Linked DNA regions of Macaca mulatta. The protein of the gene in region 3 interacts with the protein of the main gene of each other region in a pairwise test. Links are inferred from orthologs where the notes say so. Each region holds a gene or a part of one and is shown on either strand. Other genes may lie near its edges. The genes, in order: NFKB1, STK11 and TNIP2.

Region 1 (10,043 bases), about 110 Mb from region 3:
TTTCAGTAGACTCCAAAATTATTATAAATTACTGGCTTTTCAAACCTTTTTTTAACTTTATTTTTCTTGACAGATGTGACATTTTTACTCTAGTTTCTCCCTCTTAAATGAAAAAACTCTTTGATTTCTAAAGTTTAAAATTTGCCTTCCCCCAGTGGGATGCTGAATTTCATTGTGGCTTGATGGCTGTTATACCCACAGATCAAAGGATCCTAAATCATAAGGTAACATTCTCAACTAATGGGATTTTAGATATTACCTACAAGGGTTTGTTTTTATTTTTGCTACTCTTAACATTACTAAAAATAACATGCACCCAAACATACAAAAGAAAAAGTAAACTACGGATTTTTCTTCAGTTGTTTTCTTGAGATTTCGGCTTACCTGGTACAGGTCATTTCTCATGTTGATAATGTCATCAGAAATCAAACCAGATGTGACTTCTAGTAGATCCCTCACAAGTTGAGAATGAAGGTGGATGATTGCTAAGTGTAAGACACTGGAATGAAAACACAGTGGCAATAATTAACTAAAATGTTAATGAAAAAGAAAAGATTCCCAAGATGTGATTAGATTCAAGGATGGAATCTGTTCTCATACCTAGTTTTATTTGGCCCTAAAATGTTTTGAATCTATAAAATGTATTGAATCTGAGGTGGGATGCTGTCTCCAGAGGACCCGTCCCTCCCAACTGTCTGCCCAAAGCTGTTATGTTATTTGTGGTACCTGCCTGGCCTCTGGGAGCATTCACGTCTGACCCCTTGATGCATAAACACACTGAGGCTTCCAGCCCAGAAGTACCTAAGCTTAAATCCCAATTCTACCTCTATACTATGGCTTTGGGTGGTTTTCTCCTCTACCTTTCCCCCTGACTTTTCCTGACACACAGATTTTATGTAAAATGAATGCCTGGCACTAGGAATTGTTCAGAAAACTTAGTTATCTCACCTAGTCCTGTTGCCCTCCTCCAAAATACACTGCGGTGGCTTTTTAAAGATCTTTCTAGATCCCAAGAGGGGAGAATGGTGTAAAGCTTTTAACTACTGGAAGAAAATTCTTGCAGTAAACTTGTGAAGAAACAAAGTGATTGTATTTCCCGCCACTCCTGCAAACATTCTGGCAAATATTCCCTCTACCTGGAATGTTTTTGCTCCTTTCTTCTGCCTGAACAATGCCTACTCCATCCTTTATATTCCAGTTCAAACCTGACATCCTCAGAGAATACTTTCCTAACCTCCTAGGTGGAGCAAGTTGTCCCTCTCAAATTTACTGCTTGGTTATGCAACTGCAGTTTTCTACATATTTTTCTCTTTCTCTGTCCTGTCATCTCTGGGGCAGGTTCTGTCTGAGTCAATCTTACAGCCCTAGCATGCAGTAGGGGCACAAAAATAAGAATGATAGAAGGAACCTAAGAGCTTACACTAACGAGGCTGAACATACCGGTGGTGTCAAAATCACTCAGAGAAGCATAATTCTTTTAATTATTAAAAAACATACTATTAAAATTCAAAACAATAACAATAACAATCATTTTAACAGTGGCTACTATTTTTGGGGAGCTTTGATTTACCAGACTATGCTAAGCATTTGATATATATTGTCTTTTTATTATAACAATAATCCTAGGAGGTAGGTAATATTATCTTCGCTTTTTGGCTAATGAAACTGAGACTTGTAGGCCTCATATAACTCAGTCAGGGCCATAAGTGGTGAAGCTGGGATTCAAGCCAAGGTCTGTCTTACTCCAAAGCCATCTCTTAATCCCTTAAGCAATCCTCCTGCATAGGGGATACATGTGCACTGCTCTAAAGACGTGCAGATGAATGTCTAAGAAGATAACCACTCCAGAGCATGGACAGATTGAGGTGCAGAGCACACTAAAGCATCTCACAGCAAAACTACATCTGGGACATGAGGTACAGGCTGGATCTTCTCTAAAATAAGCTATCAGGTGCCACTTTACTCAAGCCTCTTCCTTAGCAATAGCAAGTATATCGTACTTGGGATTAACACTGGCACAGAAGAGCCTAAAAAACTAAATTGTGATTTTGCTACTTGAGAAATATTTTAAAATGGATGATCTCAGGGTTTCACTATTGCTTCTTGAAATGTGATACTGGAAGAAGACTTCTGAAAAGGGCCTAAACTCTGACATAGACATGATGCACATATACCAAGAAAAAGGTCATACTTCTAAAACTGCCCGAAAATTTCCATGTGCAGCTCAGCATTTCATAGCAGAAGTACATTCCCCCTCCCCCTGAAATCCTCACACCCTTACGGGAATTTCCCCAATAGCAGAAGTTTTATATACTTTTCTTTATTGTATTTTCTATGATGACTAACAGCCACAGGACTCAGACTATTAGCCAAATATGATGGACTGAATTAAAACAAGAGACTTGGGCTGTGATGGCCAAAAGCTGCCCTTTACCTACACTCTTCTGAGGATCCTTTGGTCTCTCCAAGTCCCACCTCTGTGGCCTCTCTGAGAGCCGGCTTGTGTGAGCGTGCTTGGGTCTTAGGAGGGAACTTGCACGTGCCTCGCCTTGTATCCCTTCCTACAATCCCCCCTTCAGATATCAGCACTTCCTTTCTAACCTGCACGTGCTCATCTTCTTAGACTTATCAATTCAACAGGTCCCTGGAAATGCCACTTGAAACACTGCTATCCTGTCTCAGTTAACTGCTTTTTCTTGTGGTTGTATGCTATTGAATGCTAACTGGATTATTTAACCCTGAAAAAGCATTCTGCTGTTCATGGCCTTACACCAAGAAGGTTGTACTGGTGCCTCTCATACTGTATAACAAGGCCAGTGGTTATACCACATCCTTGGTTACGTTGCAAGGAACGAGAACAAAGGTGTCTCTGCTTGAAACCCTGAGGTTGTTACTTTCCTAAAGTGCTTGGTTTAATTTTTAAACTGAGGTCTAAAACACAGCACTCAAGAGCTCTTCCACAGAAAAGGATTTCTCTGTGTTGATGCTATTTTAGGAAGGTTTTAGATAAGGCACTTGACTTGAATGTGAAGGCTGCTGTTTCTTGTTATTTTTATAGGCTTTCGAGATACTTTAGAAGTCTCAATGAAAGGACTAAGAGAACTGTTTTAGAAAGAAGCCAGGTGGCTTTGCAAATACAATCTCAGTAATAGCAGGAATGGAAGGCATGGTGTTTGGAATGTTCGACTCCCACGCATGGGCTGGAGCAGTCACAAAAGTCTGAACCAGTCACAGACTGGTGACCACCAGAAGAGGTAGTAGAGAAGAAACCAGTAACTGGGAAAGAATGACCAGTCCCTCTTAATCTTTCTGTTGTTGTTGCTGCCTTTATTGAGCTTTTTCTTGAGTACACTGTCATTATAAATATGCAGCTGGGATAACAAGGTTTCAGGGATTTGGTAGGATTCTTAACAATTCTCCAAATATTATTTCAATAAACAAAGCGAGGCTTTTCAAAAAGTACCATTACCTATACACATCTTAGTTTGCTTGCCCAGAGAGATTCACTCTTAGATGAATCCTCCAGCTACTACAGATTCCAACAGATGACAGCAGCAGGATGGAGCAGCAAATTGTGCTACTTTACCTTATTCACACTAGTTTTCTTGATCGTGCCAGTTAGAGGACTCAATACATTTGAACAATTATTTTTATCTCTAGTCAGCATGCATTATATGATGCTCTTCTTTTTCCCTACCCAGAACAACCTATCATGCAAAAAATCCTGACTTACCTGTCCCCATTCTCATCCTGCACGGCAGTGAGATGGCGCTGGACGGCCAGCAGCATCTTCACGTCTCCTGTCACTGCGTAGTCGAAAAGGGCATTGGCATGCCTCTTTGCAAGCTGCATAGCCTTCTCTAGAAAGAGGTTATCTGTAAGGCAATGACCACAATCATAGTTGAGTGTTCCTACTTTTGTTTTATGGGTATGGCATGCTCAAGGCCAAACTGACCAGCATCAGTGTTCTGACACCTTGACACATCATTTTAGTTGAAAATGCTCTTTCAATGCTTTTGGATTGTGTTGACTAGAAAAAGCAGAATTGGACATTGGGTCACTGACAAATATAGTTAGAGATTGATCTTAAAGAATCTATGTATGGTTTGTTAGAGGAAAAAGTTTAGAAATGTGTTATTTTAAGGGAACAACCATTATCTGTTATTTTAAGGAAAACAATCTCCAAACAATGTTAGATTTTACCATGATTTTAAATCACCAATATCTTGGTGAAATAATCCTTCATTGGGATCTCTACCAATTAGCTTGTTAGGCAATGTGTGAAAAAACACACGTCTCTGCCATAAACAGAGACTTTCCATGAAACACTCATGTTTTTGTAAAGTTTGTTCCATTAAGGTCAGGGAATGGCAGTTGTGACCTTTGGGCCAAAACCTGTTTATGCTCGGCTTTTCATATAGCTCCCTAGCTAATCATGGCTTATACATTTTTAAAGGGGTGTAAAAAAAAGGCATATGTGATAGATACCACATGTGGCCACCAACTCTAATTGCTTTTACAGATGTCTTCTTAGTACGATCTAGGATGACCTAGAATCATGACACATATGCTAATAAGTATTGGTTCAGAGTAAACGCAAAAGTACATTTTCTCCTAATCCTACTTGTTCAAAGAGGGCAACAAGATAAAAAGAAAAGTTCCTATTTTAAGGCAAAGTTCTATTTCAGTATGATGGTTAAGCCAGAATCTAGAGAGGGTGACTATTAAGCTTGTAGAAATACTTCTCTATCTGTGCCAGAAAAGAAGTTGATTATCTCTCACAATACCCTAAAACTGCATGATTGTGACTGGAGAATGTACATGTAAATTTCTGTACTTTACATTCAAAGATAACAGAGCAAAAATGGAAATCCCAGTGTGAATAAAATGATCTGACATATGCTCTTCCAAAGACATACAGAACTTTGAAGAGTACGCTAAACTAGATATTGATATGTCATCTTCAGATTAGCAGATACTTTTCTACACCTAGGACTGACCCCTCCCCAGCCAACCAATAGAACGTAATTTGTGTGCTCACTTACCCTGAACCCTAGCACTCTCTTCTTTTGCTCTTGTTGCATACGTTAGAGTGACCTCACCATTCCCATCAGTGGCCTCGCTGGGCTCCTGATTGTGCTCTGTGGTTTCAATGACTTTCCCAAAGAGGTTTACAGTGTTTCTGTCATCACTTCTGTCACAACCTTCAGAGTCCTTTTTAGATTCAGTGTCCATGGTTCCTAAGAAAAATGTAAAAACATCAGATTTTTCTCAGTAAAATGTATTAATTTAGTGATAATTCACTATTCCAATGCAGGTCAGATAAAGGTAAGAGGCAAGTTTGCTGCAAAAGGAAAAGAAAAATAATAATTTAAAATTCTTTTAAAAATGGTCATATCATAAATACCATGTTTTGGAGATACTCTAAACTCAATTCTAAAAACCATTTTTAGTATACTTCTAAAATCTTAGATCTCATTTTGCTTATTTACTTGTAAAGGAGAAAAATGAAATAAAGCTCTTCTGTCAATTGCAGAAAAGTTGAATTTTTAAAGTTCTTGAAAGCAGAGCAGTTTTTTCCTAACGCTAATGAACAAAGCAAGTCATAAAGACGTGTTGTCAATTCACATTCTTTAGTATGGGAGCTATCCAGTGTAGCATTCCTGATCATCCTCTTTCAGGTTCAACTATGTTATCTGACAGACACTATGAGAGCATCTAGCTTTTATAGTGGAGACCTGCTTCAAATTCTTGTTCTGCCACTAACTTCTGTGTGCCTTCAGTGAGTATAAACATTTCTGAACTTTGGTGTCTTTTGTGTGCAAAATGGAGATACTATTTTCCATATAGTGCAGTCATGAAGATAACAGTTAAAACATGTAAAAGCACTTGGCACAAAAATAGGTATTCAATAAATGGGAAGACTTCTTTATAGTATTATTTCTTCCATGGGTACACTAGAATGGACCTGTAATGTAAACTATCAACACGTGGTTTAACTGCAGCTTCTCAGGTGATGACTTGATGGGAAAAGACAAACCCTATAAAACTCAAAATGATTTCAGAAGTGTACTATTTGAGAAAACGAGAGACAGAAGACATAAGTTTGGTGATGTTTAAAACGTTTGAATAGTCAGGTCTCTGTATATCTCTTTTCAATGCTCTTTTCTTTCCTCTGTTCATGCCACTTACGAAGGAAATATATAAAATATAAACAAGGAACAGAGTTTATACTAGCCACAGGAAATAATATCTTTTGGAAAAAGTATCTTCTCAGTTTATTTGCATTAATCAATTATTTTTCAAGACAATAATACTGTTGTGATGGATTTAAAAATTTTTTTTTAAATCTATTTTTTTTAGGATTATTTTTTTCCTTTCTTGGTATTAAGAATAAAGCATTACTTACCATGCTTCATCCCAGCATTAGATTTAGTAGTTCCAGGATGGAAGGTAATCCCACCATAAGTAGGAAATCCATAGTGTGGGAAGCTATACCCTGAAATGGCAAGTAAAACAAATGAAACATCATGAAGATACTTTACAAGACTCAGCACAACTTAATGTCTGTCTGTCAGGTGAGCACAGCCTTTGGTGTGAAAGGACAGTACTGTGCCCACACGTGGTGGGGGTCATGGGACCATCAGAATTCCACTTTGATAAAGTTTACATTTTGGCAACTCTGACAGCACCCCAGATTTGGGGAGTGGTTGCGATGGAGAAAGCCTCCACTCCTATGTGAAGGGGAGAGGCTAATAGTGAGGGTCACCAACCAAACTCAGACTTGCCTACATAGAAAACATTAAAATAACCCCTTGAGGAAAAAAACTAAATCAAACAAAGCACAGAAAAACATACTGACTCCTCAATGGAAAAATGGCCACCACTGTTCACTCCTAGGCATTTTTGGTGGAAGCACAAGCTGGTACAACTCTTTGGGGAAGCAGCTGGCATTAGATGTCATGCCCTCTGACACAGTAACTTTACTACAAAGACTCTAATTTACAAAAGTAATCTGGAATAAAATGAAAAGTTATGTGGATAGGAGTTCAGTATAGCATTTTACATAGAAAACAGGAAACTACATGTAAGTAAGTTATTCTATGGTTTGTTCACTTGAGGAAATGAGTCATTAAAATGATGCTTAAAATTTACGCTTAGGTAAAGTTCATATTACTGGAGGAAATGTTTATGTTAACATCTCAGGTAAACATTGCACATATGACTCTATACATACAGTCATGGTGCAAATGATAGTAAAATAGTATTACAAATAAATGAATTAAAATAAAATGCATGATGGTGATCACAGTTGTATTCAGGGGAAAATTCATAAGTATCTACTATAACATATACATAAAAAATAGTAGTAGTTAACCTTTGGCAGATTTTATGTATTTTCAAATTTTCTACAATGTATTATATAGAGATGTTTAATATGTGGTATGTATGATATAAAATTTTTTCAATGTTTCCAAACAAAAACAAGACAACCAAATCAAAAAACATAAAAGAGAAATATACTAAAATGTTTAGGGAGGTACTCATTAAAAACTGGCTTTGGGGTACCTTTTTTCTTCTTAAAGGCTTTTGAGATTACCTACATATTGTAAAATGAACATAGATTTCTTTGAAAAATAAATTGACATTTGTCAGGAAATTTTAATTAATATACTCAATAATATCATAGCCACTCAACTCACAGACACACTCAGAAACCAAAGAAAAGAAAATTCTACCCTCTCCAATATGAAAAAGTTTTAGAAAGAATAGGTGTTTTTGTACCTGGCCCTGTACTTCCAGTGCCCCCTCCTCCACCGCCACTACCAAACATGCCTCCGCCTCCAGCTCCAGCGCCACTCCCACCGCCGAAACTATCCGAAAAATTGGGCATGAGCTTCTGCCGTTTCCTCTGTACTTCTTCTTTATCTGTATTTAAAGGAAGAGAAACCAGAGGAGAAAAGATTGATTCGGTCCCACCACTAGCCACAGAAAGACCACTGATTCTAATGGTATTTTTAAACATCTTAAAGGGAAATAGAAAGCACTCAAAGAGGAAGAGATGCTAAATTTCAAGAAGCATTATATTTATTCCAATGGGTATGAATGCTGAAAGCTAGCTCCAAAGAGACCACAGAGCAGTACACACCCAAATCCACTCTACAACAGTTTCTTCAGTGCCCAGTGTTGTTAAAACTAGTGAAATATTCGATTGTCCATCAAAAAGATACTGAAGATATTGAATAAAAAATTATTGACCCTTTTGCTTGGTCACACAAAATAACTCATGTTAATAAGTTAACATTTATTATGCATCTACAATGAGCTAAATGTTGGAAATAAAAAAAAGCATGACATAATGTCTTTGCTGTCAAGAACCCTCCAACATAATTTTAAGATAGTGGGGGAAAGACTTAGTGAGACAGCACTATAACACTACATACATTAAATTCATGGTGCAGATCAGTGTTCTAGGAGTTTCAGGAAAACCTTTTAGGAGGTCACTGGGGGATGGGAAATTCAGGAATGGCTTCTCAAAATCAATTTTATATAAGAGGAGGAAAAAGGAAGATGTTCTGGGAAGGGGATATGGAGGAAAACAATAATGAAGGAAAGACGTACACGGGGCGCTTATGAGAACAGGAGTAGATAAGTTTGGCTGAAGTGAAAGTTTAATACAGGCATGCCTCTGAGATATTGAAAGGTTCAATTCCACATTACTGCAATAAACCAAGTCACATGATGTTTTTGGTTTCCCAGTACACAAAAAAGTTACGTTTACACTCTACTATAGGCTATTAAGTGTGCAATAGAATTATGTCTTAAAAAGAAGCAATGTACATATCTTAATTAAAAACACTTTATTGCTAAAACAGGCTAACAATCACCTGAGCCTACAGCAGGTTGTAATCTTTGTACTGGTGGATGGTCTTGCCTCGAGGTTGATGGCTGCTGACTGATGAGGGTGGTGGCTACTGAAGGCTGGGTGGTTGTGGCAATTTTTAAAAATAAGACAACAATGAAATTTGTTGAAGTCTGTCAACTGACTCTTTCTTTCACAAAGATTTCTCCATAGTATACAATGCTGTTTGACGGTATTTTATCCACAGTTTTAACTTCCTTCCACATGAGGGTCAATTCTCTCAAACCCTGCTGCTGCTTTATTAAGTTTAAGGAATATTCTAAATTATTGTCATTTCAACAATGTTCACAGCATCTTCTCCAGGAGTAGATTCTATCTCAAGAAACTACTTTCTTTGCTCATCCATAAGGAACAATTCCTATCCATGAAAGTTAAATCATGAGCAGCAGTTCAGTCCCATCTTCAGGCTCCACTTCTCATTCTCTTGCTATTTCCACCACATCTGCTGTTACTTCCTCCACTGAAGCCTTGAACCCCTCAGTGTCACCCATGAGGGCTGGAGTCAATTTATTCCAAATTCTTATTCATGTAGCTATTTTGACCTCCTTCAATGAATCACAAATGTGCTTAATGGCATCTAGAATGGTAAATCCTTTCCACAGGGTTTTCAATTTACTTTGCCCAGATTCATCAGAGTAATCACTATCTATAGCAGGTACAGCCTTACAGAATGTATTTCTTAAACAATGAGACTGAAAGCCAAAATTACTTTTTGATCCATGGGCTGCAGAATGGCTGTTAGTAGGCATGAAAACATCTCCTTCAGAGCTCTTGGGTGACCGGGTGCATTGTCAATGAGCACTACCATTTTGAAAGGAATCTTTTTTTTTTTTTTTTCTCAGAGCAGTAGGTCTCAACAGTGGGTTTAAAAATATTCAGTAAACCATGCTGTAAACAGATGTGCTGTCATCCAGGTTTTCTTGTTCCATTTACAGAGCAAAGGCAGAGTAGATTTAGCATAATTCTTAAGAGCTCTAGGATTTTTCAGAATGATAAATGCGCACTGGCTTCAATTTAAAGTCACCAGCTGCATTAACTCTTAACAAGAAAGTCAGCTTTTTTCTTTTTCTTTTCTTTTCTTTCTTTTTGAGACAATACCCAGGCTGGAGTGCAGTGGTGC
Region 2 (9,831 bases), on a different chromosome or scaffold from region 3:
AGGTGAGGGGTCCTGCCCTCAGACCGGGCGGCCGAAGCAGGGTGACCCGAGCGCGCAAAGGCAGCTGCGATGTGAGCCCAACCCCACGGCACCACCTCCCCCCCCCCGCCCCGGCCACCCAGCAGCTCCCAAACACCCCTCACAGCCACAGCTCAAATCCACCTTTTATTTTTTCTTAAAAAAAAAAAAGAAAAAGAAAATGGAACCAACCAAACAAAACCAAAGTGGCCGCGCGGCTTCCGGGCGGTGCTGCATGCATGGCAGGGCCAGGAGCCTGGTCTCCACACCCGCCCGCTGGTCTGCGGCGGGGACTGCGCTGGGCGCCCTGCGGAGCACGAGGCCACGGGCGGGGCCAGTAGTCTCCACGTAAAGTGCATCGAGGCCGCCTCCCTCCTCCCTCGCCTGCCCGGGAAGGCTCTGCCCCGGGCTGCAAAGTCAACAAGCGTGCACTGCCGGGCGGCCGAGGGGAGGGCTGTGCCCGGTCCCTGCTGTCCCCCTGCCCGGCCCTGCAGGGTGCTCCGGAGGTCCTGGGGCGTGGTCGGCACAGAGGCACGGCAGCCACCTCTCCGGGAGGGCGGGCGGGACCGGCAGGAAGACTGAGGTCCTGGCGCGGGCACCTGGCGGGGCTCCTGGACACGGGCTGCAGGGAGGAGGGAGGACGGAAGAGGTCAGCCTGGGTACCGGTTCTCCGCTTCCCTCGGGCTCCTGGGAGGATGGAGAAGCTGAGGTGCAGTCATCGGGCTACCACACTCCAGTGGGGCAGCAGGGGAGGCCAGGGAAGGCCACCCTTGAGTCACTCCCGGGATACATTAAGTGTAGCCTTTTGTAGTAGGGTCTGGCAGGCTCTGACGCTGGTGGATGGGCTGTGAGCACCCATTTGGGGGATAGACACGTAACTCAGGCAGTGACCCCCAAAACCTGGGAGAGGGGCTGTGGCAAGGCAGGGGGTTCAGCCTCGGGCTCCCATCCACCCCGCATCCTCAGCAGGTGACAAGGGTCTCTGACATCTGGGGCTGGGAGAGGGAGCAGGCACACACGGAGAGACAGGGCAGCGTCTGGCACGACTCAGCCTCAGCCAGACCTGGCAGCTGGCTCAAAGCCTGGGGCAGCCCAGCAGGGCCATGGAGGTCGCCGCCCCTCCCCACCACCCACCACTCACTCATGCCTCAAAAGCTTCTGGGCTGAGCCCAACGTGAGCCTTTCCCGGGAGTAGCCCATGCATGGGGAGGGTGTGCCAGGCCCAGGGCAGGGTCCTCTAAATGCACCCACTCTGAGAGATGGCTGTGAGGATGGCACGACACCCCCTAGAGTCCTGCCACACGTAGGCCTCCGTGACCAGCACGCTAGCCAGACACCAGGCCCGGAGATACCACCCTCAGTGGGGATTGCTACGTGGCCAAGCTACCCAAAGGCTACATGGCAACTATGCGCAGCCGTTCGACAGCCGCCATGACTGGCGTGGGCTATGCTCATGGCTGGCTGTGGCATCCCTGCAGTGTCCCCACATGCCCCGCCCGGGTCCCGCCGCACCCCACCTGCAGGTGGCCACCCTCACTGCTGCTTGCAGGCCGACAGCCGGCGGATCTTGCTGCTGGCGGAGCAGGCCTTGCGGGCGGGGTTGGGGGCCCTGCCCTCAGCCTTGGATTTGGTGCTCAGCTGCGCCGCCTCCGTGCCGTTCATACACACGGCCTTGGGGAGGCCCCGGCTCTGTCCATTCTGACTGGCCTCCTCTTCTGGGACCTGTCCTGGGAGGGAGACGGCAAGTGTGGCCTGAGCCTAGGGCCGCACCCCCAGAGCCGCAGGAACCTGGCTGGCCCCCAGCACAGGGACACACTTACAGCTGTGGCCCAGGCCATGCCCACCCCCGGGTCAGGCCCAAGTCTCTCCAACCTGAAATGCTGTCCCCCAGCAGCTCCGGGAGGCACCCCCAGGGGATGAGCCTCCCACAGATGGCCTGGGAGGAATGCCCCCTCCACCCCATCTGCTGCACCTGCCACGGCCCCAGGTGGGACCCCACCCAGGTACTGTCTACAGGGGCCTCCTGAGTAGGCGGCAAGCGGACAGGGCAGGACCCTCCCGTGCTCCCCTGGGGTGCCCTGGCCCATGGTTGGTTCTAAAGGTGGAGCCACCACATGCTCACCTGTGAGGACACAGGAGGGCCAGGCTCAGGCCAGGCAGGCGAAATGCCAGCACAGAACCACGTGGGGAGTAGAGCTCAGCTTGCCAGGGCCCCCAGCCGCCCCCAGTCTCTGCCGGCCACCAACCAGCACCAGCGTCTTGTGAAACTCACAGGCCTGGGGCTGCCCACCCTGCCCAGGTGGACAATGTCCTCATAATGGCGGGGGAAGTGCAGGAAGCTGCCCACGTGCTGTCCCTGCCAGGAGCTGTGGTGGTCTGTGAGGACTCCGCCAACACACTGGCTGCCGAGCCACCCCCAAGGCCCCTCCCAGGCGCCGTCAGTGGGAGGCTGCCCTGGGCTGCCCCAGAGCTCATGTGCCCCGTGCAGAGCCCCAGCTCCGAGAAGGGGCCGGTGGCTGACTCAGCAGCTTCCAGGACTTGCCATACACCTCCCACCGTGTGCACAGGAAGTCACTGGCTTTAAAAAGGCACCTTGGGCCGGGCGCGGTGGCTCACGCCTGTCATCCCAGCACCTCGGGAGGCCGAGGCGGGTGGATCACGAGGTTAGGAGTTTGAGACCAGCCTGACCAACATGGTAAAACCCCGTCTCTACTAAAAACACAAAAATTAGCCGGGCGTGGTGGCGCGCACCTGTAGTCCCAGCTACTCAGGAGGCTGAGGCAGGAGAATTGCTTGAATCTGGGAGGTGGAGGTTGCAGTGAGCCGAGATTGTGCCACTGCGCTCCAGCCTGGGCGACAGAACAAGACTGTCTCCAAAAAAAAAAAAAGCACCTTGGTCAGGAGGCATCAATGGCACCCATAGGTCTTACACCCAGCCCATCTCCGCTGGGGCAGACCCTGTGCCCACTCCCATGGGGCCAACCTGGTAGACAAGGTGCCCTAGCTCTGCATCAGTGGCACAGCTGCCACCAGGGCCCTGCCCCCACGAGGCACTGGGACCCTCGGTCCCCTCTCCCACCCCACACGCCTGTCTGCGCTGGTGCCCAGGACCTGCCCCAAGCCCCTTCCCTGGTTCTGGGTGTCGGCAGCAGGACCCCCATCCTGGGTAGGGACAGGCAAGGCCAAAGTGGAGCCATGCAGGGGCCAATGCAGCAGCCCAGGCCTAGTGTGGAGAACACCCTGACCCAAGGGCGCTGGGCTGTCCTGCCCCGATGCAAGGGGGCTCTGCAGGTCAGGGATGGGGCTCACGCTGAAGCCTCAAGTTGAGCCTGTCCCCAGCGCCTGAGCAGTGGAAAGGGCGTCAGCACCTGAGCACCCAGTACCGAGTACCGAGGCCTCAGCCATGCCAAGTGGTCCCAGCGGACCCCACTCTGCCGGGTACTCCTTCCCACCACCCACAGTGGGCTCAGCAGGGTCATGAAAAAGGTGGCCCAACCCCTGCCCTCCTCCCCGGTACCTCACCCCAGGGCAGCCCACACAGGGCAGTCTCACACAGGCCTGGAGGGAAGCCAGTGCCGGGTCCTGGCTCAGGAATCCTGGCCTGCAGGGGCGGCCGTGAGGGTCAGCGTGTGGTCCACGTCCCAGCAAGGGCTCTGGCGGCCTGCCTGGGCTGGCCCTGCCCTAATTGGCCCTCCTGCCTGGGATTTGCCTGACTGCCCGTCTCGGGGCCCCAGAGCTCTGAAAGGCAGAAGGCCCTGGACCTGGGGTCAAATTGCAGCCAGGCCCCAAGGATGGGCGCCATGAGGGGACCCCACCTCCCAGCACACCCCAGTGACCAGGGTGCCCAGCAGCACCTCCCGTCCCAACAGACGCGACGGCCACGGTGCCACAAATCCAAGAGCCCAGGAGGCGAGACCCTTTGACCCTGGGGGCCCCCACACACTGTACCCTCCTGGGGGGCCCCCACATGCTGCATCCTCTTGGGGAGCCCCCACACTGTACCCTCCCGGGGGCCCCACACTGTGCCCTCCAGGGGAGCCCCCCCACACTGCACCCCCTGGAGCCCCCCACTGTGCTCTCCCGGGGTCCTCACATGGTACCCTCCTGGGGACCAGCTACTGAGCTGAGCCTAGAGGTTTGCTGAGGGGCACGGGGGTGCTGAGGGATGAGGCTCTCTGCAGGGCCCCCACTATTCTGGGACCCTCGGGCCCGGGGTGGTCCTTGTCCCCTGGATCTTCACATCCCAACCTGCCTGGTGTACCCCCCTTCTCAGGCTGGCCCCTGCCCACCACTTCATGCTGATACAGTGAAACAGAAAGCCCCTGCCATGCTCCAGCCGAGCACAGCAAGCATCCATCTGCAGATACACTGCACATCGCTTTATGACACAGCCCAGCCCCAGGCGGAACAGAGGCAAGCCGGAGCGTGGCGGGGAGGGGCTGGCTGCCAGTGCGGGCCGCCCCTATGCTAAGGCCCTGAGCTCCTCCTCCGGCACTACTGCGGCGCCGGCCGCGAGGCTTCCTCTCCTGAAAGGTCTGAGCCCTCGCTCTTCTGTGAGCCGTGATCCGCTCTAAGCCCTGCCTCAGACGCCTCCTCGCCACCTGGGGAAGAAGGGCGGCCGGCATCAGGGCCAGCGGGCAGGCCTCAGGGATGGTGGGAGGGAGGGCCACTGGACCCTCGAATGCCGGCTGTCTGAGGGGCCACCCTGCACTTTGACTCTCACCCGCCCTCCCCCGACCCTGGGGCTCCCCGCCTGCTCCTGCTGGGGCTCAGGCCAAGGCTGGTGGGCGGTGCCTGGCTAGGCAGCACCCGGAGAGACACCTGGGGAAGCCTCCTGGCCAGACAGGCCTTGGCCAGTGCCCCCGCTGCCCCCACGCCTTTCAGCCGTGTCCCAGCTGCCCCCAGGGCGGAGGCGGCCTGCAGGTGGGCTGGAGGCTTCAGGGACGTGGGATTGGCCACCAGAGGGCAGAAGCTGTCCTCACTGCAGACAGGCAGGCGCCCTGCTCCTGTGGGACGTCACAGCCGAGTGAGCAGGGCTGGGCAGGGGCCCCCACCAGACTCACCGGGCACCGTGAAGTCCTGAGTGTAGATGATGTCGTCCTCGATGTCAAAGAGGTCCTCATCCTCGTCCGCACCGTGCAGGTCCTCCAAGTACGGCACCACAGTCATGCTGCGCCACCGGTCCTTGGTGTCCGGGCTCGGCGGGATGGGCACCGGCGCCTCGGCCGGAGGGTGTTTCTTCCGGAACCAGCTGCAAACGCCCAGAAGCAGTGGTGCGTGTCAGGCTCGCACCAGGACGGTGCAGCTGCCCAACCTGGCTCCTCTGTGCTCAGAGTACCTGCTGCACGCTCAGGAGCCGGAACCAGGCCGCGCACCGGGTGGCTGTGACCAGACGCTCAGCCATGCCCTCCCGGAGCAGGCAGGCTGCCAGGACCTCAGTCTGTAGCCCTGACCTCACTCCAAGCCTGACAGATGTCCCCTCCACCCTGAGGCCTGACCCCCCGCCACGCCCAGCCTCAGGCCTGTCTCCCAGGTGGCACTCAGAAGCCAGCACCCACCAGACGGACGTCAGCAAAGGCCAGAAGGGGGTCTGGGGGGCCATGAATACATCCTAACCCAGGAGCCTATGGGGGCAGCCCCAGCACCCGCCCGGTTCCCAGCTGCCCCTGAGCTACGCAGAGATCCCCAAGGGACGATCGGCACCAGCGCCTCAGGGGTCCGGACACTCCCACTCCCAGAGCTGGTCTCTGGGGGGCCTCGGGGCTCGAGCGACCCCAGGGGCTGGTGCAGAGGAGCAGAGCCCACGAGGCGAGGGAGGTCGCACTGCGGGGCCTGCTGTCTTCCCTGTCACAGAGCTGGGTGCCCTTGGCTGGATCCCAACCAGACCGTGCTGCTGGGAGCCCCAGGAGGAGGGTAAAAAGAGGGGCTCTCGCCAGCGTTCAGGGCCAGCTGTGCCTTTCCCGGTGTGTCTCTATGCCTAGGGCAGAGACGGATGCACGTCCTCACTCAGACCCCAGCTCAGACAAGGCCTGTCTGGCCACTAACAGGGCACTGCCCAGAGACCCCACTTGGGCCCTGAGAACTGCGGGCGCTGCACGGGGTCTGGCCCCAGCCCAGCACCCCCACCATGCCCTGCTCTGGTGCCCACTCAACCAGCTGCACACGTGGCCAGCCTCCCTGTGGTCTTGGCCCCACTGCCCCCAGGGGCCGCTCACCTGTGCTGCCGGATCTGCCGGATGGAGAACCTCTTGGCCGGCTCGTACTCAAGCATCCCTGAGGAGAAGCCGGCGAGGAGCCAGTCAGCCAGGCACAGGCCCGAGACCCCACCAATCATCCCCACCTGACCAGCCTCTGTTGTCAGGCCCCAGGTGATACCTGGATGCTCCCAAGGGGGGCCCCCTTGAGATGGCCTCCCTGACAGAGGCGACTCCAGGGGACAGGCCAGGGACAGCCTCTGCGTGCCTGCCTGGGAGACAGGGCTGGGCTGGACAGGCAGGGCAGTTCCATTCTCCCAAGGCCACTGGGCAGACGGACAGACGGCCAGTGCCACCTGCTGCCCACACACAGGAAGTGCAGCAGGACGAGCCTGACACAGGCCAGGGAGCCCCCGAGGGCGGGGCTGGGGGAGGCGCAGGGCAGCACTGCCCTCAGGGGTGGGAGTTGAAAGGTGAACAGGGCCCAGAAGCAGGGTGGAGCTGAGGGACCCACAAACCAGGCCCTAGTGGGAGGCCGGCCTCTCCGCTCAGTCCTCTCAGTGCCTGCAGGGGTCTCAGGGCCAATAGCCCCCCACCTAACACCCCCCACCCTGCATTTCTGCACAAAAGCCCCGCCTCCCTGGGGCTGTGGGCAGAGGGACGAGGCCCCCACCTTTCAGCAGGTCGGAGAGCGGGGGGCCACAGTCACCCGGGATGGCGTAGCTCCCCTTCCCAATGTTCTCAAACAGCTTGTAGATGTTGTCCCCTTCGAAGGGGTACAGACCCGTGGTGATGTTGTAGCTTCATTCGAGGGGAGGGAAGAAAGGTGTGGTCAGTCAAGGTGGTCGACGCCCCGGGAGCCCCACCTCTGCCCCAGGGACGGAGCCCTCGCGTGGCTGCTGGACCACAGGCCCTGCGGACTCAAGGACACCTCTGTCTTCACCGCCTCCCACTAGTGGAAGCCATGGGGCAAGAGAGGAGCGTCCTCTGGACCCACCCGGGGAGGGGCCTGGAGCCACTCTCACCCGCCCAGCTTTCCTGTGGGGCTCTGAGAGGAGGATTGGTTGTGACACTCTGTGAAGATCCCTGACAGGCTAGGCTGCATGTCACATGGGTGAACCACCATCTGCCGTGTGAGCTACGTCTCCATAAAGTAAGCACCCCCAGTGGCTGTGGTCAGCGAGGGTCTAGGCTGGTGGCTACGCCCTGCACCCACAGGCCAGAAGCTGCCCAAGATGCAGAGGCCCCTCCGGGCTGTGCGTGTGGCGAGTGCCGGGGCGGGGCCGGGGCACTTACAGGGTGACCCCAGCTGACCAGATGTCCACCTTGAAGCCGGAGAAGGTGTCCAGGCCGTTGGCAATCTCGGGTGGCTGGAAAGCCGGGGAGCCCTGGCTGGTCCGGCAGGTGTCGTCCGCCGCGAACGGGTGCAGTGCCTGTGGCAGTGCCGTGCAGCCCTCAGGGAGTGCCCGGGAGGGGGCGCCCCAGGGCCCCCCCTAGCACGTGCCTACCTCGGCCACGCCCAGGTCGGAAATTTTGAGGGTGCCCCCGGTGGTGAGCAGCAGGTTCCCGGGCTTGATGTCCTTGTGCACGATGCCCTGGCTGTGCAGGTACTCCAGGCCGTCAATCAGCTGACAGAAGTACCTGCGGGCAGCACACACCTGTCTTGGGACCGAGGCCTCCCTGTTCCTCACAGGGGTCCCCTTTGCAGCCGCCTGGGAGCCTCCCAACCACCACAGGCCCAGCTGGGGAGTCACGGAGGTCCAGGCACACAGGACAGAGGAAAAGCTGGGTCCAGTAGGGAGCCAGGCCTGCGCCTGCAGTGACCACCCTCATCCGGCCGAGTCACGTCTGGCAGGGCCCCGGATGTCCACAGGTCTCATTTCCCTGTGGGCCACAGGCCGGCTGCACCCCAAAGGCTTGCTGAAACAGCAGGCCCCTCCCTGCCCCTGCAGTCCTGCAGCAGCAAGGGGCCCTGACTCTGCAGCCAACAGATCTGTACCAGGAGGTCCGGTCGGGGCAGGTGGCTGCTGGGACGGGATGGGGTGAGCTGCCGGCCTCAGGCAGCAGGCCCAGCAAAGATGGAGGCAGGAGGTTGACAGCAGCCCTGCCCGTGGATACCACACACAGGAGTCCCCAAAACTGTTTTTAAAAACTTGGGCCTTCACAGGGCGGGGCGTGGTGGCTCACGCCTGTAATCCCAGCACTTTGGGAGGCCAAGGCGGGTGGACCATGAGGTCAGGAGATCGAGACCATCCTGGCTAACACGGTGAAACCCCATCTCTACTAAAAATACAAAAAATTAGCCAGTCGTGGTGGCGGGCACCATGGTCCCAGCTACTCGGGAGGCTGAGGCAGGTGAATGGTGTGAACCAGGGAGGCGGAGCTGGCAGTGAGCAGAGATCGCACCACTGCACTCCAGTCTGGGCGACAGAGTGAGACTCCGTCTCAAAAAAAAAAAAAAAAAAAAAGGCCGGGCGCGGTGGCTCAAGCCTGTAATCCCAGCACTTTGGGAGGCCGAGACGGGCGGATCACAAGGTCAGGAGATCGAGACCATCCTGGCTAACACGGTGAAACCCCGTCTCTACTAAAAAATACAAAAAAACTAGCCGGGCGAGGTGGCGGGCGCCTGTAGTCCCAGCTACTCAGGAGGCTGAGGTAGGAGAATGGCGTAAACCTGGGAGGCGGAGCTTGCAGTGGGCTGAGATCCGGCCACTGCACTCCAGCCTGGGCGACAGAGCGCGAGACTCCGTCTCAAAAAAAATAAAACAAAAAAAATAAAAAACTTGGGCCTTCATGTCAATGAAGATCAGGACAAGCCGTGTGGCCACAGGGAAAGGAGCCTGCCCTGCCCGGCCCCCAGCCCCTGCTTCACCCCAGCCCCTGCCCCGCGCACACACCCGTGGGCCTGGCACACCGGGAAACGCTTCTCTGGCACGCTGTCCAGCATCTCCTGCATGCCACACACGCAGTACTCCATCACCATATACGTGGGATGCTAAGGACACACAGCTCAGGGGGCGGCCCCACTCACAGGCCCGGAGAGCACAGGGGCCAGAGAAGGGGTTCTGGAGGGACCCTCCGCAACCACTCTGCCCCTCCTCGGACCAGGGCCCACCCTGCCCCTCCTCGGACCAGGGCCCACCCTGCCCTCACACCCCTCTGAAAAGGCCCCAGCGTCTGGGAGGAAGGAGCCTCCATGGGAGTGGAGGACAGGGCTGACTCTTGGGGCAGTGTTCCTGCGGGACTCACGTCCCCCACCCCGCCCATGGGCGGGGGATGATACCTCCTGGACGCCCCCACAAGCAGGCTCGGGTCCACACAGGATGGGGCCCACGGCCCCTGACTGCGTGACTCTGAACACAGCCCCAGCCTCAGGACCACTTCTGCTCTTGCTCTGGGCACAGGGCCTCAAGCAAAGTCCCCGTAGGGAAGCTGTGCCCGTAAGACCCATGGGGGGAGTCTACCGATGACACAAGGACACGCTCAGCCACGACCAAAATGGCCCACAACATTCAGCCTGCGTGGCCTGCCTCAGGCAGACCCTGGCCACATCCCGGTTAGCCTTGGAGAAGACTATGAGAAAATAGGGTCTTGACACCCCATGGCTCCAGCACACAGG
Region 3 (10,043 bases):
GAGCCGGGAGATCTCCTTCCTCATCAGCTCGGGCTCATGTGGGGTCTGCAGCCCCCTGAGCTGCGCATGGAGCCCCCTCACATATTCGTCCCTGCTGGCGTCGTAGCGCTGCCACTTGGCATTGAGGTCTTCAACCTGAGGAGGTGGAGCCGGAAAGCTCACGGCGACGGCAGCTGACAGAGCTGCTCAAGCCACACCCAGGGGGACTATTCATCAGCAGTGATTTGCTGAGTGAGCGTTTCCTCTTAAATGGAAGCTGCCCCTCCCTGTTCTGTAGAGAGCAGACACTAGGCCCACTAGAGAATCCCGAGGCACCGTGATGACACCCGTACGCAACCAGCATAAACAGAGGTGCACTTGGTGCAGCTTTGCTTTTTTTTTTTTTTTTTTTTTTTGAGACGGAGTCTCACGCTGTTGCCCAGGCTGGAGTGCAGTGGCGCGATCTCGGCTCACTGCAAGCTCCGCCTCCCGGGTTCCCGCCATTCTCCTGCCTCAGCCTCCTGAGTAGCTGGGACTACAGGCGCCCGCCACCGTGCCCGGCTAATTTTTTTTTTGTATTTTTAGTAGAGACGGGGTTTCACTGTGGTATCGATCTTCTGACCTTGTGATCCGCCCGCCTCGGCCTCCCAAAGTGCTGGGATTACAGGCTTGAGCCACCGCGCCCGGCCTTTTTTTTTTTTTTTTTGAGACAGAGTCTCACTCTGTCGCCCAGGCTGGAGTGCAGTGGTGCGATCTCGGCTCACTGCAAGTAGCTGGGACTACAGGCGCCCACCACCGCGCCCGGCTAATTTTTTTGTATTTTTAATAGAGACGGGGTTTCACCGTGGTCTCGATCTCCTGACCTCGTGATCCACCCACCTCGCTTTTCTGTCTTAGAAAAGGTACCTCCTGCTGCTAATTCTTGCATCTCCTTTACTGACTTGTGGATTAATTTTAGGGGATGGAGACGGACAGGACATATCCTGTACGTCGTTTTAAGCAAAAAAGTCCAGTCTCTAGGGACTGTGTGTATCAAGTCATAGTGGCCAGAGGGCGGGGGCAACCTCTGGGCCTCAGCCAAGGAAAGAACCCTCACTCACAGTTTGTAAGCCGCGTGTTCTCAAACAAAATGTGAAAGACACTCACGTGAGTCACCTTCTGTTTTAACAGTCGATTTTCTTCCTGCAACTTCTCAATAACACTCTGGACAGAGGTGTGCCCACCTGTATGTTCTGACTGCATGAGGAAGGGACAGAGAGAAGACAATCTGTCACAGCAAGAGGGGAGAAAGCTAGACCCAGAGGCTGAGGCCACAGATGATCACTGCATCCCCCAAGGCAGCGGTTAGTGATCATTCATTTGGTAGAGAAGCAAAGCAGGGACAAGGGACCACCTTCTCCCTGCCCAGGCCCACCCCTACCAGGCCCAGGCCAGAGCCCAGACGGAGGGTCTTCAGGCCACATCACCTTTGACACCGTCCTTATCCCATCCTACCTACCAGTTTGAGCTGTTTGTCTTTTAAATATTTGGAATGTAAATATTCTAAAGTCATAATGTCTACAGGGATTGGCACACCAGACATGATCAAGTCTTCTCTTTGCCAGAGGTTTGCCATTATCATAGACAGCAGGGAGGGCAGGAAGCCGAATCCCATTGTAAACCAGAGGATCTCCAGCGAGGGGGCTCTCAGCTGCCCAGGGTGGGCCTGGCCATGCACCCTGCTTACCTCCTTTGGAGCCCATGACACTGTCCTGTCTGCAGACAATCGGGTTCAACCAGGTGATTCTGGACACAGCAATCTAACCTCTGCCCCACGCAGGGTCAGGAGTCATGGAGGCCACAGCCCAAACCAACCCCCACTAACAACTAGAGACCTGAACGAAAAGTCTCATGAAACTCGTGTGTACTCTAGAATTCTGACTGTATATCAGTGACATAATTTTTGAGAATTCCCCCCGAGTGACAAAGGAAGTGCATGTCCTAACGCAGCCTACACCGGGAAGCCCCGGGTGACTCAGCTGAGTTCAGGGCTGAGAAGTGACACTTATTTAGAGACTGTGACGAGGGCCTACGCTGCCACTGGCCCCACCCCCGCCTCAGGCTCAACACTGTGTGTGGCTCCTTTCAACTCCCCAGAGGGAAATGACACACTGACTCAAAATCAGACCAGAACACCGGCCTCCGCCCCGATGGCACTTTCCTTTGGTTTCTGAATGCGGCTGTGTCCTCTCTGAGGTTCCCCGCCTGGAATCCACCCAGCTGAGGTGGGCAGTTCTCAGACCAAGCTTCTCCCCAGTAGGCGCCTTGGTGAGGCTGCCGATGGGTGCGGGAGGTACTGTCTGACGCAGAACATCCCAGCGTGTGTGTTTCTGCATGAACCTTGGTGCTGCCTCAGAGAACTGCCTAGAAAGGACTCGAGCGAGAGGCCCTGTGCCCGGCAGTGCGAGTGCGGTGGCACCTCAGCCTGGGTGGGATGTGCACAGAGTGCCTCCATTTCCCCGCCTGCCACACACAGACACCACGGGCACCAGCGAGATGGAAGGTGGCTGGCTCACACTGGCCACAGCACCTGGCACACACATGCCGTGGCCGCTGCTCCCTACTCTTCTGCCTAGGAGCCTCCTGGTTTCTCCTGATGCTGAAACTCCCACAGTTCCTCTCTCTCCCACTGGACCCCACAGAGAGCTACAGCCCAGATCCAGCCTATCCTGGAGGTCCAGTGAACCCTTCTTTGGCCCTCACTGTCACCTGGCACCGCTGTCCCCTGCTTTGATGAGGAGGCTGTGACCCTGAGACAGGTCTCCAAGCTTGTGGGAGGTCGCGCTGCTGGCAAGGACATGCCTAACGCCAGCTTTGGAGATGGCGGTTCCAGCTGTGCCCAGATCCACTCAGACACACTGAGCCTGCAGAAGGCGACTCACGGTCCTTCCGGGAGTTCTGGGTGTGGAACTGGAGGCACTCCCTGTCCCCAGCAGTACCACCCGGCTCTGCTTCAGTTTCCTCAGATGAGGAGGATGTGACTGCACTTCCTCCATGCAGCTCTGCCACCCTCATGTCTTCCTCCTCATCCTCAGCTGAGGCAGATGAAAGCCAGGTGCCACCTCCCACCTGGGAGCAGGGTCAGCTACAGGCCTGGTGCTGGGCAGTGCGGTGGCTGCCTGCTTTCCTATTACACTGTGCATGTTCCATCATTTTAAAAGAAACCCTTGGATGAGCGAGCTTTGTCCCGTCAGCTGACTCTCGCTGCTGAGAACAGACTGGGTTCTGGGACAGCCCCTGGCCTCTGTGATCGGGGCCTGTAGGCAATGCTCCCAGTACACAGGGTTCTTCACCACAATCTTACACGGTGGCCTACCTGGTCAGGACTTCTCTCCCCCACATTCCTGTGTGCATGCTGTCGTTCATCCAGACACTTGGCCAGATGCTGACACATGTGGGCAGTGGCGGTCAGCGTCCTCCGTAGCTGATGGGTCTCGTTGGCCAAGGAGCGGCACAGGATATCACTGGCGGCCCGGGCGCGCTCCCCTTCCGCCATGCTCCTCCGTAGCAGGACGACTTCCTTCTCTCGCTCGTGCTGGGGCTGGCTCAGTAGCTGCTGCATCTCCCTCTCTTTTTCTTCTAGTCGTTCAGTCAGCCTCTCAATTTCCTAAGTGGAAGATTTAAAAGCACAGTTTACTGAATTAAAAGAAGCAGTGTTGAGAGCAAATGTTCAGAAACCAAAAGGAGACCTGGCATGGATGCCCCAGCACCAGACACAAACACACTCACTCCAAAGTCGGGCATCTGAACTAACAATTACTCACTCAGAAGTCGGGCATTTGAACTATTAACTCTGGAGTTTTTCAGCCTACAATGTTCTGTTCTGAAACTTCATCTTAAAATTTTTTTTTTTTTTTTTTTTTTGAGACAGAGTCTCACTCTGTTGCTCAGGCTGGAGTGCAGTGGCATGATCTCGGTTCACTGCAACCTCCACCTCCCAGATCCAAGTGATTCTCCTGCCTCAGCCTCCACAGTAGCTGGAATTATAGGCGCCCACCACCACACCCGGCTAATTTTTGTATTTTTTTTTTTTTTGAGACAGAGTCTTGCTCTCACCCAGGCTGGAGTGCAGTGGCACAATCTCGGTTCACTGCAAGCTCCGCCTCCCAGGTTCACGCCTTTTTCCTGCCTCAGCCTCCCGAGTAGCTGAGACTACAGGTGCCCGCCACCATGCCCAGCTAATTTTTTGTACTTTTAGTAGAGATGGGGTTTTACTGTGTTAGCCAGGATGGTCTCGATCTCCTGACCTCGTGATCGACCCACCTCGGCCTCCCAAAGTGCTGGGATTACAGGCGTGAGCCACCGCGCCTGGCCCAATTTTTGTATTTTTAGTAGAGACAAGGTTTCACCATGTTGGCCAGGCTAGTCTTGAATTCCTGACCTCAGGTGATCTGCCCGCCTCGGCCTCCCAAAGTACTAGGATTATAGGCGTGAGCCACCATGCCCAGCCCTTTTTTTTTTTTGAGGCAGGGTCTCACTGTCACCCAGGCTAGAGTGCAGTGGCATAATCATGGCTCCCTGCAGCCTCGGCCTCCCCAGGCCCAAGCGATTCTCCATCCTAACCTGAGTAGCTGGGACTACAGCACGTGCCACTGTGCCTGGCTAACATTTTTGTATTTTGTAGAGACAGGGTTTTGCTGTGATGCTCAGGCTGGTCTTGAACTCCTGGACTCGAGCAATTCAGCCGCCCTGGCTTCCCAAAGTGCTGGGATGACAGTGTGGGCCACCGTACCCCGCCAAATTCTGTTTTCACAAGCAAGCACATCATTTTAGATTTCGTATCATCAAGATGTTGTTTTGAAATGAGGGTCTCGCTATATATAGCCCAGGCTGGTCTTCAACTCCTAGGCTCAGGCAAATCCCCCCACCCCAGCCTCCGGAATAGCTGGGACTACAGGCTCAAGCCACTACATGCAGTTTTCATCAAATTATCAAAGTGGCAATTCCAAGCACTTTTTTGATAGGAAAGGTAGAAACTCCACTGTAGTGGGCAACCCCCAAAAGATGTCCACAACCAAACCCCCCATTCCCCAGTATCTGGGAACGAAACCTTATTTAGAGATAGGGTCTTTGCAGATGTAATTAGTTAAGGTGAGGACAAACTGGATTAGGACGGGACTGGTGTCCTAAGAAGAAGACGGAAGTCTGGACAGACACACAGAAGGAGGCCATGTGACAACAAAGATATGAGTGACATCTTGTCTTGTAGATAAAGGCCAAGGAACACCAATGATTGGCGGCCCCCACAGGAAGCTGAAGAGGCGAGGAAGCGCGTTCTTCCCTAGGACCTTCAGAGAGAGCCGATGCCTTCGTTTCCGGCTTCTGGCCTCTAGAACTGTGAAAGATTACATTGCTGTTGGTGGAAGCTTACCCCTCCCCCCGCACCCCCCCCCCCCCGTTTGTGTTACTTTGTTACAGCAGCTCTAGGAAATTAACACACCCAACCCCAATTACTTCTTAAAGAAATGAAAAAGGTTCTTAAAATGACAATTTTTTTTGAGACAGGGGCTTGCCCTGTCACCCAGGCTGGAGTACAGTGGTGCCATCATGGTTCACTGCAGCCTCGACCTCCCAAGTTCAAGTGATCCCCTTGCCTCAGCACCCTAATGAGTTGGACAACAAGTGCAGGCCACTGTACCTAGCTAATTTCTCTATTTTTTGTAGAGACAAGGTTTCACCATGTTGCCCAGGCTGGTCCTGGACTTGAGTGATCTGCCTGCCTCAGCTTCCCAAAGTGCTGGGATTACAGGCAAGAGCCACCACATCTGACCTGACAATTTTTTAACACCTGGCCTTAAATTTGTGCTTTTCCATTTTCAAAGACTCCTCCAAAATAAACAGTACATTACATGAAGGAGGTGAAGCAGGCACAACTAGTCCATCCCACAAGTGAAGAAACAGTTTCAGAAAAGTCAGGGAGGAGCCCAAGCTTCCCCCAGAAGCGGCAGAAGGGTCCAGCCTCTGTCTCTAGTACTTGAGGTGAGAAGAAACAGAGACCGGGAACCTAGAATGTTCTCATCACAATGGAACAAAATACTAAGCCCTATTACTGCAGGAACCCTGATTATTCTTTTTCTTTTTTTTTTTTTTTTTTTTTTTTGAGACAGGGTCTCGCTCTGACACCGAGGCTGCAGTAGAGTAAATCAAAGCTCACCAAAGCCTCGAACTCCTGGGCCCAAGCGATCCTCCCATCTCAGCCTCCCAAATAGCTGGGACCACAGGCTCGAGGTCAACGCTGCAGTGGGCCGTGATGGTGTCAGTGCACTCTAGCCTGGGTGACAGTGAGACCCTCTTCAGGGATAAAAGACTTGGGGCAAAACCCGACTTCTGTTTCTGTTTTTTTTTTCAATACAGACAGGGTGTTGCTATGTTGCCTAGGCTGGTCTTGAACTCCTGGCCTCAAGCAATCCTCCTCCTGCCTCAGCAGGAGTCACTGTGCCCAGGTAAAATCTGATTTCGGAGCCTCCTTCTTACGCTGGTCAAATGCTGACAGCAGGAGAAGCAAACGACCCACCAACAGGAGGGCGGCAGGCCCACAGCCCAGAGATCCTGACGGGCGGCTCTCTCTCACCTCCCACCTTAGTACTCAACACTGAGCCCAGCCCCACACAGATGCCCAGTAAATGGGAATATCACTGGGCCATACAGAGACACAGGAAGACCCAGGCTCTATGCTCAACCCATGGGGGCAGACCAGCCCTGCCAACGGCTGCCCCACATATCCTCCCCTTAGCAGCATGCAGGGCCCCAACACCCCTCCAGCCCCCAAGGTTCTGGCATTTGTCCCTGGCTCTGAAGTTGCAGAGATGTGCGCTGGTTTACCTGAGTGCCTTGTCCAGTTAGTAACAGTTCTTAGGACACAACAGCACCTCGACCACTGTGGCCAGAAAGCAAGGTATGTGCTGGAGTTGTGGCTCTACACACACGGGCACAGCACATGGACTAGTCAGCAACGGGGCGGCCATCTCTCAGGAAAGCATGTCGCTGGGACCCACAACTCCACGCTCCACGCGCAGAACAAAAGTGTCAACAGCTCTATTCATAGTCTTATGGATTGGCCTTAAAAACAAGAGGCACAGGCCGGGCACGGTGGCTCACACGTGTAATCCCAGCACTTTGGGAGGCCGAGGCGGGCGGATCACGAGGTCAGAAGATCGAGACCATCCTGGCTAATACGGTGAAACCCCATCTCTACTAAAAATAGAAAAATTAGCCGGGTGTGGTGGCGGGCGCCTGTAATCCCAGCTACTCAGGAGGCTGAGGCAGGAGAATGGTGTGAACCCGGGAGGTGGAGCTTGCAGTGAACCCGGGAGGTGGAGCTTGCAGTGAGCCAAGATCACACCACTGCACTCCAGCCTGGGTGACAGAGCCAGATTCCGTCTAAAAAAAAAAAAATTAAAAAAGAAAAAAAAGAGGCACAATGGCCTCTTGGCTTACAGGGCTGCTGTAACAAAGTACCACAAACTTGGTGTCTTAAACAACAGAAGCGTATTCTCCCAAAGCCTGTAATCCCAACACTTTGGGAGGCCAAGATGGGAGGATCACTTGAGCCCAAGGGTTGGGACTAGCCTGGGCAACATGGCAAAACCCGGTCTCTACAAAAAATACAAAAAACGTTAGCCAGGCAGGGTGGCGAGCACCTGTAGTCCCAGCTACTTGGGAGGCTGAGGCAGGAGGATCACTTAAGCCTGGGAGGTCAAGGCTGCAGTGAGCTATGATCATGGCACTGCTCTCCAGCCTGGGCAACGGAGTGACCCTGTCAAAAAGAGGGGAGGGGAAAGGAGGGGAGGAGAAAAGAAAAGAAAGGAAGAAAGAAACAAGGCAAGTGGCTGGGTGTGGTGGCTCACGCCTATAATCCCAGCACTTTGGGAGGCTGAGGTGAGTAGATCACGAGGTCAGGAGTTCAAGACCAGCCTGGCCAACATGGTGAAACTCCATCTCTACTAAAGATACAAAAAATTGGCCGGGCGCGGTGGCTCAAGCCTGTAATCCCAGCACTTTGGGAGGCCGAGACGGGCGGATCACGAGGTCAGGAGATCGAGACCATCCTGGCTAACACGATGAAACCCCGTCTCTACTAAAAAATACAAAAAACTAGCCGGGCGAGGTGGCAGGCGCCTAGAGTCCCAGCTACTCGGGAGGCTGAGGCAGGAGAATGGCGTAAACCCGGGAGGTGGAGCTTGCAGTGAGCGAGATCCGGCCACTGCACTCCAGCCTGGGCGACAGAGCGAGACTCCGTCTCAAAAAAAAAAAAAGATACAAAAAATTAGCCAAGCGTGGTGGTGGGCGCCTGTAATCCCAGCTACCCAGGAGGCTGAGCCAGGAGAATCGCTTGAACCCAGGAGATGGAGGTTGCAATGAGCCAAGATCGTGCCACTGCACTCCAGCCTGGTGACAGAGCAAGACTCAGTCTAAAAAAAAAAAAAAAGGAACAAAGAAGGAAAGAAAGAAAAGAAGAGAAGAGAAAAGAAAAGAAAGAAAGAGCCAAGAAAGCAAGCAAAGCAAAGCTAAGCTCAGCTGGAAGGGAAAGGGGGCTGATAAGCCAGGACCAGGCAAAGCCTATGAAGCTGGTCCCTAGAGTGGTGACAAGAGGGGCTTGGGCAGTAACAGGTTGCACAATGAATTGGTGCCATTATTCCAGAAAGTATTAACCGGAGGCTTTGCAGAGCTATCCACTCAGGTCTTGTGTTACAGATGAGGTAAGGTCTTAAGTCCAGCTGTGGCTGCAGTGAGGACCACAATTCTCTGGCCTGATCTTGCCCCGTCACACACTGACCACAGCTTGATCACAGATGCACTGGTCAGCTCCTCCACTCCCCGAGCCTCAGCGCTCTCTCTGGGAGCCCTCAGTCCCTATCGGTCCAGGGTTCCTGCTCCTAACGGCCTCACTAACACGGCCATAGATGAGGGCAACCTAGCCACAGCTTGCTTCCTGCTGTGTCTTTGACTCTGCACTGCCACCTCAGTGAACCCAGGGCCTACAGGAGGTGACACACCTCTCCATTCTTCCACAGGTTCCGTGATTGACCTCAGATTGAATGTTGGGATGAGCAATAAGTATGTAATTGCATAAGATTCCAGATAAGGCCAGGCACAGTGGCTCATGCCTATAATCCCAGCACTTTGGGAAGCCGAGACAGGAGGATCCCTGGAGGCCAAGAGTTTGAGACCAGCCTGGGCAACATAATGAGACCCTATCTCTATAACAACTTAAAAAGGTAGCCAGGTGTGGTGGCTCATAGTCCTTGTGGTGGGCTCTTCACCTAGAGTCCTAGCCACTCGGGAGGCTGTGACGAGAGGGCTGCTTGAGCCCAGGAGTTCAAGGTTACAGTGAGCTATGATGGCCCCAAGGCATTCCAGCCCAGGTGGCAGTGTCACAGAGCAAGACCCTGTCTCTAAAACAAACAAACACAACTAAATCATTAAAATGGGCCAGGCGCGGTGGCTCAAGCCTGTAATCCCAGCACTTTGGGAGGCCGAGATGGGCGGATCACGAGGTCAGGAGATCGAGACCATCCTGGCTAACACCGTGAAACCCCGTCTCTACTAAAAAATACAAAAACACTAGCTGGGCGAGGTGGCGGGCGCCTGTAGTCCCAGCTACCCGGGAGGCTGAGGCAGGAGGATGGCGTAAACCCAGGAGGCAGAGCTTGCAGTGAGCCGAGATCCGGCCACTGCACTCCAGCCTGGGCAACAGAGCGAGACTCCGTCTCAAAAAAAAAAAAAAAAAATCATTAAAATGTTCCTTAAATAGGCCAGGCGCGGTGGCTCAAGCCTGTAATCCCAGCACTTTGGGAGGCCGAAATGGGCGGATCACGAGGTCAGGAGATCGAGACCATGCTGGCTAACACGGTGAAACCCCATCTCTACTAAAAAATACAAAAAATTAGCCGGGCGAGGTGGCGGGTGCCTGTAGTCCCAGCTACTCGGGAGGCTGAGGCAGGAGAATGGCGTGAACCCAGGAGGCGGAGCTTGCAGTGAGCTGAGATCCGGCCACTGCACTCCAGCCTGGGCGACAGAGCGAA

The links.
Region 1: the proteins of TNIP2 (region 3) and NFKB1 interact in binary tests that used the Homo sapiens proteins (3 or more experiments, as listed by UniProt). The link is inferred for Macaca mulatta from reciprocal best matches to the Homo sapiens genes TNIP2 and NFKB1.
Region 2: the proteins of TNIP2 (region 3) and STK11 interact in binary tests that used the Homo sapiens proteins (3 or more experiments, as listed by UniProt). The link is inferred for Macaca mulatta from reciprocal best matches to the Homo sapiens genes TNIP2 and STK11.

The regions. Positions count from the first base shown.
Region 1 is NC_133410.1:111,952,768-111,962,810, reverse strand, and holds part of NFKB1 (nuclear factor NF-kappa-B p105 subunit), read right to left. Parts: intron 7,930-10,043; coding exon 7,786-7,929; intron 6,500-7,785; coding exon 6,410-6,499; intron 5,241-6,409; coding exon 5,046-5,240; intron 3,876-5,045; coding exon 3,734-3,875; intron 500-3,733; coding exon 385-499; intron 1-384.
Region 2 is NC_133424.1:1,890,299-1,900,129, reverse strand, and holds the end of STK11 (serine/threonine-protein kinase STK11), read right to left. Parts: intron 9,200-9,831; coding exon 9,110-9,199; intron 7,854-9,109; coding exon 7,721-7,853; intron 7,646-7,720; coding exon 7,509-7,645; intron 7,014-7,508; coding exon 6,886-7,013; intron 6,292-6,885; coding exon 6,234-6,291; intron 5,270-6,233; coding exon 5,082-5,269; intron 4,620-5,081; exon of another isoform or gene 1,746-4,619; coding exon 1,552-1,745; 3' UTR 1,536-1,551; intron 706-1,535; exon of another isoform or gene 641-705; 3' UTR 161-640; downstream 1-160. UniProt on the Homo sapiens protein: Tumor suppressor serine/threonine-protein kinase that controls the activity of AMP-activated protein kinase (AMPK) family members, thereby playing a role in various processes such as cell metabolism, cell polarity, apoptosis and DNA damage response.
Region 3 is NC_133410.1:2,890,101-2,900,143, forward strand, and holds part of TNIP2 (TNFAIP3-interacting protein 2), read right to left. Parts: intron 3,626-10,043; coding exon 3,335-3,625; intron 1,216-3,334; coding exon 1,126-1,215; intron 136-1,125; coding exon 1-135. UniProt on the Homo sapiens protein: Inhibits NF-kappa-B activation by blocking the interaction of RIPK1 with its downstream effector NEMO/IKBKG.